Arabidopsis thaliana: one gene and its partners. The protein of the gene in region 2 purifies or fractionates together with the protein of the main gene of each other region. This does not show direct contact. Each region holds a gene or a part of one and is shown on either strand. Other genes may lie near its edges.

Region 1 (3,754 bases), on a different chromosome or scaffold from region 2:
AATGTATCTGGATTACGATGCTCTGTAAGAGCTTTCTGGAAAGTCTCAATCGCAGGCTCAAAGTCTTTCGAGCATCTCGCCATTTTCACTAGAGCAGATCCTTTTCTAGTCAGAGCTCTTGCTATCATCTTGAAGTCAGAACGAAGTTCTCTGCCTCTTTCAACAGCCTTGTCACAGTCTTCAATGCACTCCTCGTACTGATAATTTCATTTGAGAAATGAAGTAAAACATCACACAAGATACAGTAAGATCCAGATGAACCAACTGTTAATTAAACAAGACTAATGCAAGAACACATAGACCAATGGAATTGAACCACTCAGGATACTTGAAGATTAATTGATTCCAGTAATAATAAAGATAACCACTTCTACAGAACAAGTGAATAAACTCCATCATGAAGCCATAAACCCTAAATTTCTACCTCATCTAAAGCTAACTACTTTCAGCACAAGTGAAAACTTAAGTTCAAAACTCTTAAATCTCCAACAAGAAGCAGATGAAAGTTATCAAAACCCATCAAGGTCATCACAAATGTACTAACTAGTGACAAGCTATACTAAACAGATAAGCTACTTCAAGAACCCAAGATCTCCTCCTTAATCTTAAAGTACCTAAAGGTTTAACTTTTAAGCCAAGTATAAGACTTAATACCTTCCCCATCTCAAGATAAACAGCAGCACGATTCGTCAAATACGAAATATCCTCATCATCGAGCTCCATGGCCTTAGTATAATGTTCAACAGCTCTCCCAAAATCCTTCTTCTTATAAGCAACATTTCCTTCCCCTTTCTCCTTCAAAGCCTTCTCCTTTCTCTCCTTCTTCTGCCTCTCCTCCTCCGTCAACTCCATAGGTTCCATCTCCGGTTCAGGCTCTTTCCTCTCATCAGCCTCCTTCATCTCAGTATCTTCACCACTAGATCCACCAAACTTCACATTCAACAAAACCCCTAAAGCCTTCATAACTCTCTTATCCTTCATATACAAATTAAGATTATTAGGGTTCCTCTGAATCTCCTTCATCGTCTTAACAAAATCATCCTGCTCCAAATAAACCCTAGTCCCCGGATCCGCCGTCAACTTCTCCCACATCTCCTTCCCTTGAAACGCATCAACAAAAGGATTCGACTTTGACGAAACCCTAGATCTCGAAGCATCAGCTAATCCCGATTTAAGCATCTCATTACTCGGATCAATCTCTAATCCTTTCTTATACGAATCAACCGCTTCATCAAACTTGGACAATCCAATAAACGCAGCACCTAATCGGCTATATCCTTTAGACCAATCAGGTTTAAGCTCTATAGTCTTCTTCGCGTCTGATAAAGCTTCTTCGTAACGGTGGAGAGAAGCGTAAGAAGCGGATCTGTTTGAGTAGAGGATGTGATTGGTTGGTGAAAGGTTGATTGCTTCTGTGAAATGGGTTATTGCGGTGGCGTAATCGCCGGAAGAGAAAGCTGCGTTTCCTTTGGATTTTGCTTCTTCCGCCATTGAATTGGATTTGGTTTAGGTATCGTGAGAATCTGCTTGATTGCATTTTTAAAAACAGAGGAAGATGAAGAAGAAGGCACAAGAGAGTTCTCGAAATTTCGAATTTTTTTGTGTATGTCGAGAATGTTCTTTTGTAGCCGTGGAAAAATGTTTTTAAATCTTAAAAATACAAAAGGAAAAGAAACGCTAGAGAAAGGGGTCGAACCTCTGACCTTGTGGTTAACAGCCACACGCTCTAACCAACTGAGCTACTCCAGCTTTTTGATAAGTGATTCGTTATTTATGTAAATATACCGTCTAGAAAAGAATAAACATCCGTTTATGTTCTGTGCTTACTTTTTTATGCTATGTCTTTGTCTTCTGTCAGAAGATTAAGCGTCAGAAAGACATCGTGGAGTTAGCAACGAGACGATCAAAATTCTTCAATCCGAAGTAGTAGTAAACCAGAGGTGAGAAGACGACCAGTTTGGGAGAGAAAACCAAATCGGAGGTATGTATGGTGATTAAAGTTTTGGTTATGATAAATAATATCATCATAAGCGAATAGTTTTGTACGTTTTTGGTTTAGGTTTTAATCAAATGTGTCTTTACTTTTAATAAGTTTAGGTTTGATATTTGGTTTTTTTGTTTTTTTCTAAACATACCACATATAATCATATATATTAATACTCAAAGAACAAGTAGTACATGGTTTCTCCAAATACTTGTAACCAACCAAAGTGGTAAACTACAATCTAAAAAGCAAAATACAAATCACATGAAGATGCAAATTTAGCAAGTGCATCTCCTCTGCACATTTGTTCTCACCTCATCTTCTAAATTTTAACATATTTGATCACTTTCCTACAATATGATTTGAATTTGTATTCAAATTTGGGAAATTTTGAAAATTACCACCTTTATGATACCATTTTTCAAAAAGACCAGAAAAAGGTTGTTCAAAAATTCTAGTTTCATATCATTTCTTAAGAAAAATCTTCTAAGCACTATAAAACATTAAAAATTTTGTGAAAAATCTTATAAATGTTTGATATTATGCATTATAGAAACTTTATAAACGTTTTTATAATATGCTCTATAAAAGTTAATAAAACAAATTCTATGATTGCATTTTGTGTTACATTGAAAATTAACAAAAAAAAAAAACAGTGGTATTATTAAAAAAAAATAAAAATCATAAAAGTGGTATCTCAAAAATTCTTCTGAAATATATTTAGATAGAAGTAATTTCATAATTAACATTATATGGAAATTCTAAATATTGATTGTTTCACTTCAATTGGGGTTTATAGTGGATGATAGGTTTCAGATACAGCAATACACCATCACTCACTGTATTTGATATATTGAAATATAAGTATTCAAAAATACTGATAGCCCAATTTCAGTTTTTTCTGTTTTTTTTTTTTAATTTCAGTTTTTATGTGTGTAATTTTATAAGTTAGAACATAATTTCAGTTTTGTTCTAACTTATAAAATTACACACATAAATCTAAACCATATAGTATTATAGGATGTCAATGTGGTCTATCATCCATGAAATAAACTGATACAAATAATTATCTTGTATTTATGAATCGGTATTTATCGTATAACATAGATGGTAAAAAAAACTAATATTCACAAATTAAAGGAAATCATCCTTCTCTGTACTGTATAAGTGTATATAAATTTTTTTAATCCTCTTTTGATTTTTGACTATTTTATAAATTCAAATTATATAATCTTGTAAGAATTTTTCCTGCGGCAATGATCCCATGCAGCGATCCTCAACTGGACTTTTTCAAAATCCGAAACCCGACAAGGAATAGTGATCCGACCCGGTTGATCAAACCCATGAACCCGCTCCGCTTGCTCCAACAATTCTCCAAACAATGGATGATTAAAGTAAATCACCGGCACCACAACTCGCCGCGTGTCATCGTCTGATTCGCCGACATGAACCACCAAATGTCCTCGAGGAACAACCCGGTTCGACTTTTTCGGATCCTTACCCAACCGGATCTGATTCTGACCCGGATTCTTCTTGCTTCCACCGCACAATCTCTTAGCTCCACGGCTTAAACACCGTGCTAATGACCGGATTCCGGTAACCGGGTTTGTGATTCGGGTCGGGCATCTGTTTCTTGGTATCCATTTGAAAATTTTGACAAATCTGTGTCCAATTTTGAACCCTCTGACTCTCTTCATGCTTGGTTTTAATCAGATTCCGACAAAAAAAAAAAAAGTCTTTGGTGAAAACAATGAGATGGGTTTGTTTGAA
Region 2 (3,754 bases):
CGCTTCCACCAGTTACCAATTGTACAGCCAGCCTCCCAAGCTTCTCAGCAAGTACAACATACGGCTTCAGCTCCCTCAATACCTGAAAACAGATAGCAACTGAACAGTGTCAGAGAATTTGCAGGACAAATCATTATCACTACTTGCAATATCACCAAGAACTAGAAGAATGAAACTTGATCCTGAATTAAGGACTCTATAGTGAAGTCTGAAATTACCTCTAGTGGAACCATTGGTGCATTGACCGCGGTAGCAGCAAGTTCTCCTCTCAAAGCTCCAATAACAGCTTCTGCGACTTCGATAGACACTCCTTCCTAGGCGTCAAGTAAAGGTTTCAGGAGAGCAGAACAAAATGCACTAAAGGCAAAACGAATATACAGTATGTAATACCTGAGCCTCCATAGTACTAGCACCAAGATGAGGTGTGGCAGTGACACTCTCATGTAACACCAACTTATTATCTTTAACAGGTGGCTCTACTGTAAAAACATCAAGAGCTGCCTGAGCAACAATACCCGAGTCAAGCGCTCTCAAAAGAGCTTCCTCATCAATAACTCCACCACGAGCAACATTAACAATACGGACTCCTTTCTTCATCATCGCAAAGGTCACATCATTCATCATCTTCGAAGTAGCAGCAGTAAGAGGCAGATGCAAAGAGATGAAGTCAGCAGTTGAAATAGCTACTTCAAAACTAACAAGCTCCACACCAATAGCTCGTGCACGATCCGCTGGTGCATAAGGATCATGTGTAATGACATGCATACCAAGTCCCCTGGCTCGTCTAGCAACCTCTGATCCAACTTTACCAAAACCAAGAACAGCAAGAGTCTTCCCCACAAGTGAAACACCTACATACTTGTTTCTCGTCCATTTGCCTACAAACAACCACATTTCTACATTTCACATCGCAATTTCTCAAATCGCTATTCAAATTCAACAACCGTTTAAAACACTCACCAGCTTTGATAGAAGCATCAGCTTGAGCAATGTTTCTAGCCATGGCGGTCAAAAGCGCAATTCCGTGTTCAGCAGCAGCCACAGTGTTCGCAGTCGGAGCATTAACAACCAAACACCCATACTCAGTCGCCGCCGCCAAATCGACGTTATCAATCCCAACACCAGCGCGTCCAACAACCTTAAGCCTCCCACGCGACGATTCAAACACATCTCTCCCAACCTTGGTACCACTCCTGACGATGAGCGCATCACAAAGAGAGATCTTCGTACAAAGCTCCTCGAGACTCAGATCATAAGAGCAATCCACATTAGCGTACTTCTTAAGCAGATCGATCCCCGCTTGGCCTAGCTTCTCCGTTACGAGAATCGTCGGTTTTCCTCCACCTCCGGAAGAAGAAGACGTAACGAGGATGATCCGTCGCCTCTGACGGATGGGAAAAACAGAGGAGGGAGTGGTGACGAGCCTTGAGGAGGAGGAGAAGATCGATGATAGATTCAGAGACGTCGCCATCGCGATGGCGGGAATATAATGTAAGTAAAGGTGTATGTATCGTCAGCAACAGAGTAGAGAGATATGGGTTCATCTTTCGGGTGGGTTTTGTGAGGTTTAAATATGTTGTGCTAGATTACGCTACATCCTTTGTTCACTTATATCTTCACTTCTTAAGTGGATTTTGAAACTTTATATAGAAGAAAAAAAAGTTACAATTTAATAATGGTTTTGCTAATAAAATACAAATATACTACATTCTTAAAACAAAATAATAATATATCAAATATTATACTATTAGGTTATGTGGTTTAAAAATTGAAAAAACACATTTTTTTATATTGATTTTAAATTAAATTATAATATAAATAGAGATACATTTATATATCTATTAGATAAGGCGCGTTTAAGTAAGGCGGATTGTAAAAAATAATGTAAAAGTTATCGATGACATATGAATTCTATATAGTAATATGTATTTTTTTTTAATATTTTTATTTTTTCATGCCTGTTCTTGATAGTTAGCAAGTATATAATATTGAAAGAATTGTATCTCTGTTTCTTTAGATTTAGACATCTTTCATATCGTCAAATGCTGAAAATTTGTCTAACGTTCCAAAACTCTTCTTCCAGTCAAACTTTAGTTTTATTTATTGTTTGATGTAGTAAGAATCTTCTGGTGAAGGGTTTATTAATTGATTTGGCAACTGGCAAGGTCAAAATACTAGGCAGATGTCGTTGGAGGATATCACCAAGTATTGGAAACGCCTTGTGGAACACAAGAGAAATAGTAGTAGCGTAAAGCCTCATGATTCATCAGTCAGTAGCCGCTAAATTTAAGGTAATCATATGAGACATACTAACCACTATTATTTTGTGATATTCGTTGAAAGATAGCAGAATGAGTGGACAGACCACAAGGACAAGCGCTGGTCACCACATTAAGGAAGGGAGTAAACCTGTGGCACACGAAAAATCGTTCTACAAGTCCCTGCTTCAAAATCATTCTACTCCATGCTAGACAATTAGGATAGAACAATAACTAACATGATAAAAGGATTATGCTATAACTTAAATTGGTAAGAAAAACTAAATATATCAAGAGGTATTTTAGCAGCATGTCAAGATCTATATCACTTTTGCAGAAGACGCTGAACAAAGAGGAAGAAGATATGAGCACATTTTATCTGAAATATGAAACACCTAAAATATGAAGTTGATATAGTACAGGGCCATAGTGAAAGCTTTTGTGAGATATCTCAGATAGCTAGCTATCTATTAACCTTAGCCTTGTTCCTTACTAGAAGAAAGAGAAGAGAAACCTCTCTAGTTTTGTCTAATGAACAAAAAGATCACCCGTTCGACTTATCTTTAACTGCTACTGTGTTACAATAGAAAAAGAAAACGATGAACTATCAATACCTAAAGACTCTTGGAAGAAACGATGCATGCTTTCGCGGAGAATGCCAACCAAGAAGCATACAGTTTGCTCCAACTTAAGGGGACTGAAAGTAACAAACGATTAGCTGCAGGGGAAGGAGCGTGTGCACCATTTGGAAACGAATTCAAATATATATGGCAAACAAAAACAAGTATGAGAAACAAGTTAATATGTTATTGACTAACAAATAATGATCTTGTTCAAAGAAGATGACAAAAGAGGAAGAAAAAAAGTAAGCAAGGAATAGATGGTCGACTAATTAAGTTGCACTAGACTTGGAACATAAGAGCACACAAGTGGAAAACACTTTCGGTCTGAATCTCCGAGATCAACTGCTTTAAAGGATCCATCCACTCCAAAGATGTAAGCTATGTTGCGCTTATTATCGTAGTCTTTATCAAAAACCACAGCGACTTTCTTCTCCTCGTCGATGAAGAAACTCCCAAAAGTTAACTGAAACTGAGGGCTGACGAGTTGTTTTAAACTCACTGATAAGAACACCTTGCTGTTCCACGACACAGCGTTGGGCTCAATCTTAGACGTCACCCAGATGTCCAACTGTAAATAATCCCACGGCTGATATAATACAACAAGCTGCTCTTCTCTAACACTAGATACACTCATAGTATCTTCAGAAACAGCAAACTCAAACGGAAGAGGCAAAGGCGGCCCAAATGTCTCGCTTGTGAAATCAAAACAGAGTAAGAAAAAATGGTCTGTGTCCATTGTTTCGGTATAATTCTCTCTAGCAAACCAGTAGGCATTTCCCTTGAGAGACACGCCATGGAGCATTTGCCATAAGTGCCACTCCGGAGTTACATCAAGATCCCTCCATAAGTCAGAGTTAAAATCGTAGATTTTGA
Region 3 (3,754 bases), on a different chromosome or scaffold from region 2:
CAAACAAGCTCACAAGAAGATGTTACATTTAACAATCTAGAGCAAATCAAAAAGACCAATCGAAGAAATACCCTTCAAAACCCCTTTGTTATGAAATCTTGAAAGAGAGTTGTGCAATTACAGATGATGTATTGTAGTACCTGATGATCCGAGAGTGCACCATATGAAGCACTGCGTGAATCACCCCACCGGCCTTGTGGGAAATCTTCCCAGCCCTTGGTTCTAGAAATGTAGCTCTTTGGACGGTTTGCCCTTCAAAAGATTAGAAGAAAGAACAAGTCTTATTTTCCCTGCAGAGTAAAATATGTGGCTAAGTATAATCAGAACGAGAGAAACTAAGCTCTGTTACCAGAAAATGGGGCGCACATCTTCCTTAGTACGGAAAACATTTGCAGGGCGTCTCCAGGGTAAAGAACGAGAAATTTTGGACTCATCAATCATACCAAGATTCTGAAACAACAACAAAATAGTAAAGCTACTCCACTATCAGTATCATGCTTTACATCAAGTAGAAAAAGTGAGGACCAACCATCAATATTGCAAGAGCAGATTTCTCCATGTTCAATGTGTAGAGATGAAGAGACTTGACTCCATGAGCCAACATCTTTTTACACATCTCTGTTCCAAGGTGAATACCATAGGCTTTCACAGCTTCTTCGTTATCCTTGATAGGCTCCAAGGCAGCCATCACCTCAACTGGTATCTACATTAATATAATCATATGTAAATTCATCTATCTTTTTTTCACAAAAAGCACAGCTGGTATCTACATTAATATAAAGAATTCTCTTTGAATAGCTATCCAACAAACACTTTCTCTGAAAACAATAATATAATCAAGTATCTCAATTTCATCTAGCTGATCACGAAACCTTAAATACACTTTTTTAAAAACATATCCTAAGCTAGCAAACAAACACCTTTATGGAAAGGCAACAAGCAATATCATTCATCTCCTAAAAGGTGATTCATTTGCAGGAACTGGTGTTTACTAAACGATCAAAACTTACCTTAGTCTTGCAGAAACCAGTCATACGCAAAAAGCCTCTGTAGTTATTAATAGGCATAATTCCAGGAACAATGGGACAACTAATCCCAATTTGCCGACAATCATTCACAAACTTGAGGAATATATCAGTATCATAGAAAAGCTGAGTAACAATCAGATCAGCTCCAGCATCAATCTGTTCCAAGACAAACCCAAATTCAAAAATTGATGCAGACATTTAAGAACAAAGCAAAACAAAAACAAACAAAACAAACCTTTTTCTTCAGATACTCAAGATCACTCTGATAAGCTTCATTAGACGCAAGACCATTCTCACCAATAACATCAGGATGCGCCTCTGAAATATCAAAACACATAAAAATCCAATCTTTAGCTACAAATCACACGAAACAAAGAAATCAAATTCGAATTCGAGACATTACCAGGATAACCAGCGACAGTGATACCAAAGTAATCACCATACTTGCTACGAATGTGATTAACAAGATCCAAAGCACAATCAAAACCACCTTCAACCTGAACAAACTTATCTTGACCATGAGGAGGATCACCTCTAAGAGCAAGCACATTCTGAATCCCATTAGATCTAATAGTCTCAAGAGCATGATCAATCTTCTCAACAGGCATGTTAGTACACGTAAGATGCATCATACTCTCAACACAAACAACGTTTTGCATCCTCGAAGCTATATCAAGCGTTAGATCTGCGGTAGATCCACCAGCTCCCCAAGTGATATCGCAAAACGTTGGACCATAAGCAACCATTCGATCCATTCTCTCAAAGAGATTGTCGACTCCATCTTCTGTCTTTGGTGGGAAGAATTCGAAGGAAAACGCTGTTTTGCCTTCGTCGGCTAATGACTGGATCTTATCTATCACCTTCATCTTCTTTTCGAAATGGAGAAGAAGAATGAGAGACAAAGGCGAGTTCTTTCAGGTTCTTCTACTCACTGCTTTATAGTAAACAGAGAGATTCCAAAATGTTTGGTGAATTTTAGACTTTACCTTACCCGTCCACTTCCTTATATTATTTTCATTTTTAAGACAAAATCATACTTTAAATAAAGTATAATTACATAATTTACATTTAATCATTGTTTTGTGCGAAAATCCATGTAGTTAGACAACATGAGTTACATTTTTATGCTTGACAAAAAAAAACATTTTTATTAAAGTGTTTATTATTCAAGAGATTTACCAAACCATTCTAAAGTGAAAAAAATGAAGAATCCGAGTTATTTGATATTAAGATAGTCGAGTTGATATTAGTAAACAAGATGAGTTACATAATTATTTTAAAGGAATGTGATTAGTAAAAGATTTACCAACCACAATTAGATTTGTCGTTATCAATCCCCAACCCCTGCAGTCTATGCTTTTTGAGTTGGTGAACCAGAACCACACACCCACATCACCCACCTACTACCAAAAAACCAATGATCCATCACTTTTGTTTAACAAAAATAATCTACTTTTACCAAAAAAAAAAAAAAAAAAAAAAAATCTAATTAAAATTTTCCGTTTTTCACTTACAGTGTATCTTTAAACTTTACAAAACTTTTTCCAATTTAAAACTGTTATGTTGTTTTAGTAATTTTTCACTTGTTTAACTCATTTTGCATTTGAAGGAATTTGAAACGTTAATCGCTAAAACAAAACTGGTCAGATTTTGCAAACACCGGCTTTTGTCGGCGACACCGACACAGTCACACTCACACAGATGCACGAATAAGAACAGCACATGCAAACAAGAACAAACCGGTCTTTGGATACAAATTTTTAAAAGCTAAACCGGATATGAGATTACCGGTTCTTACAAAGTCAATTACACACCACGAAGGTTCTTGCAAGACATCATCATTTGAGATCCCCATGAAAAAAGAAGGAAGGAGAAGAAAGTACAGATGTGGTTACACAAGTAGATATATGATATCTCTTATAATGGTTGTACAAACACAGGTCACAAGTTAGACGCAACAAACAATGTCACTGCACCAATCCCAGTCAGTCAGACCCGGGTTTTTTGGGATACCTTTAGTTTACCAAGACAGGTTATTTTGGTTTCTCAACTTCAAAGCAATCTGCAGAAACATAGCAGCCAGGGTAATTTAATACTCTATGCTTCTGGGAGTTTTAATGTTTCATTAAGAGAGTGAAGAGTATAAATCACCTGAAAACAATATTAGACAATCTCCCAGTCTTCTCTCGACATGTCGACAAACTCGGTAACACCATCCTCGAACATCACCTGGACCAAGTTTAAAGATGTTAACAGAGAGGTCTTAATTGAGAATGATTTTGCCAAGTTCGATGGTGAGGAACAAGTATTGGCTAATTGTAATACCGAGTGCTTTCTTGAATACTCATCAAAATGTCTAACGAGGCCAAAACACCTGAAAATCTCAAAAGATAAAACATTGGATGAGAAAAGCATAGAATGAGTCATAAAACTAATCCACGAGTTCAAAACTCAATAAATACCTATCACTCGTGGGGCGAGATAACCTGATCACCACACCAATGCAATTACGCGAACATGTATCCCTTTGACTAAGATTGTTCCATGATTTTCCTGGAGAAACATGGGAATCCAAATTACTTTCTTACAACCAAAACACAATAAGCTACTCTCGCAAATTGAGCAGAAAAAATCCAAACTTACCTGCATCTATGTGTCTATTTACAAGTCCATTTTGATGCACCTAACCAAAAGTGGGGAAAGAAAAAGAGTCACTTAGACCTCAT

Evidence for each region.
Region 1: the proteins of AT3G19480 (region 2) and Hop3 fractionate together in Arabidopsis thaliana (co-fractionation; one large-scale study listed by BioGRID). This does not show direct contact.
Region 3: the proteins of AT3G19480 (region 2) and MTHFR2 fractionate together in Arabidopsis thaliana (co-fractionation; one large-scale study listed by BioGRID). This does not show direct contact.

The regions. Positions count from the first base shown.
Region 1 is NC_003075.7:7,339,749-7,343,502, forward strand, and holds the start of Hop3 (stress-inducible protein), read right to left. Parts: upstream 1,614-3,754; 5' UTR 1,492-1,613; coding exon 655-1,491; intron 198-654; coding exon 1-197. Other genes in the region: AT4G12410 (SAUR-like auxin-responsive protein family), read right to left, coding at 3,208-3,681. UniProt on the Arabidopsis thaliana protein: Mediates the association of the molecular chaperones HSP70 and HSP90. Mediates nuclear encoded chloroplast preproteins binding to HSP90 prior to chloroplastic sorting. Involved in acclimation to heat.
Region 2 is NC_003074.8:6,750,307-6,754,060, reverse strand, and holds the start of AT3G19480 (D-3-phosphoglycerate dehydrogenase), read right to left. Parts: upstream 1,640-3,754; 5' UTR 1,472-1,639; coding exon 961-1,471; intron 879-960; coding exon 391-878; intron 315-390; coding exon 219-314; intron 83-218; coding exon 1-82. Other genes in the region: AT3G19470 (F-box and associated interaction domains-containing protein), read right to left, coding at 3,147-3,754. UniProt on the Arabidopsis thaliana protein: Involved in the plastidial phosphorylated pathway of serine biosynthesis (PPSB).
Region 3 is NC_003071.7:18,260,441-18,264,194, reverse strand, and holds the start of MTHFR2 (methylenetetrahydrofolate reductase 2), read right to left. Parts: upstream 2,007-3,754; 5' UTR 1,895-2,006; coding exon 1,432-1,894; intron 1,347-1,431; coding exon 1,264-1,346; intron 1,185-1,263; coding exon 1,011-1,184; intron 704-1,010; coding exon 530-703; intron 451-529; coding exon 350-450; intron 253-349; coding exon 141-252; intron 1-140. Other genes in the region: histone-lysine N-methyltransferase ASHH3, read right to left, coding at 3,192-3,257, 3,354-3,402, 3,491-3,581, 3,672-3,711.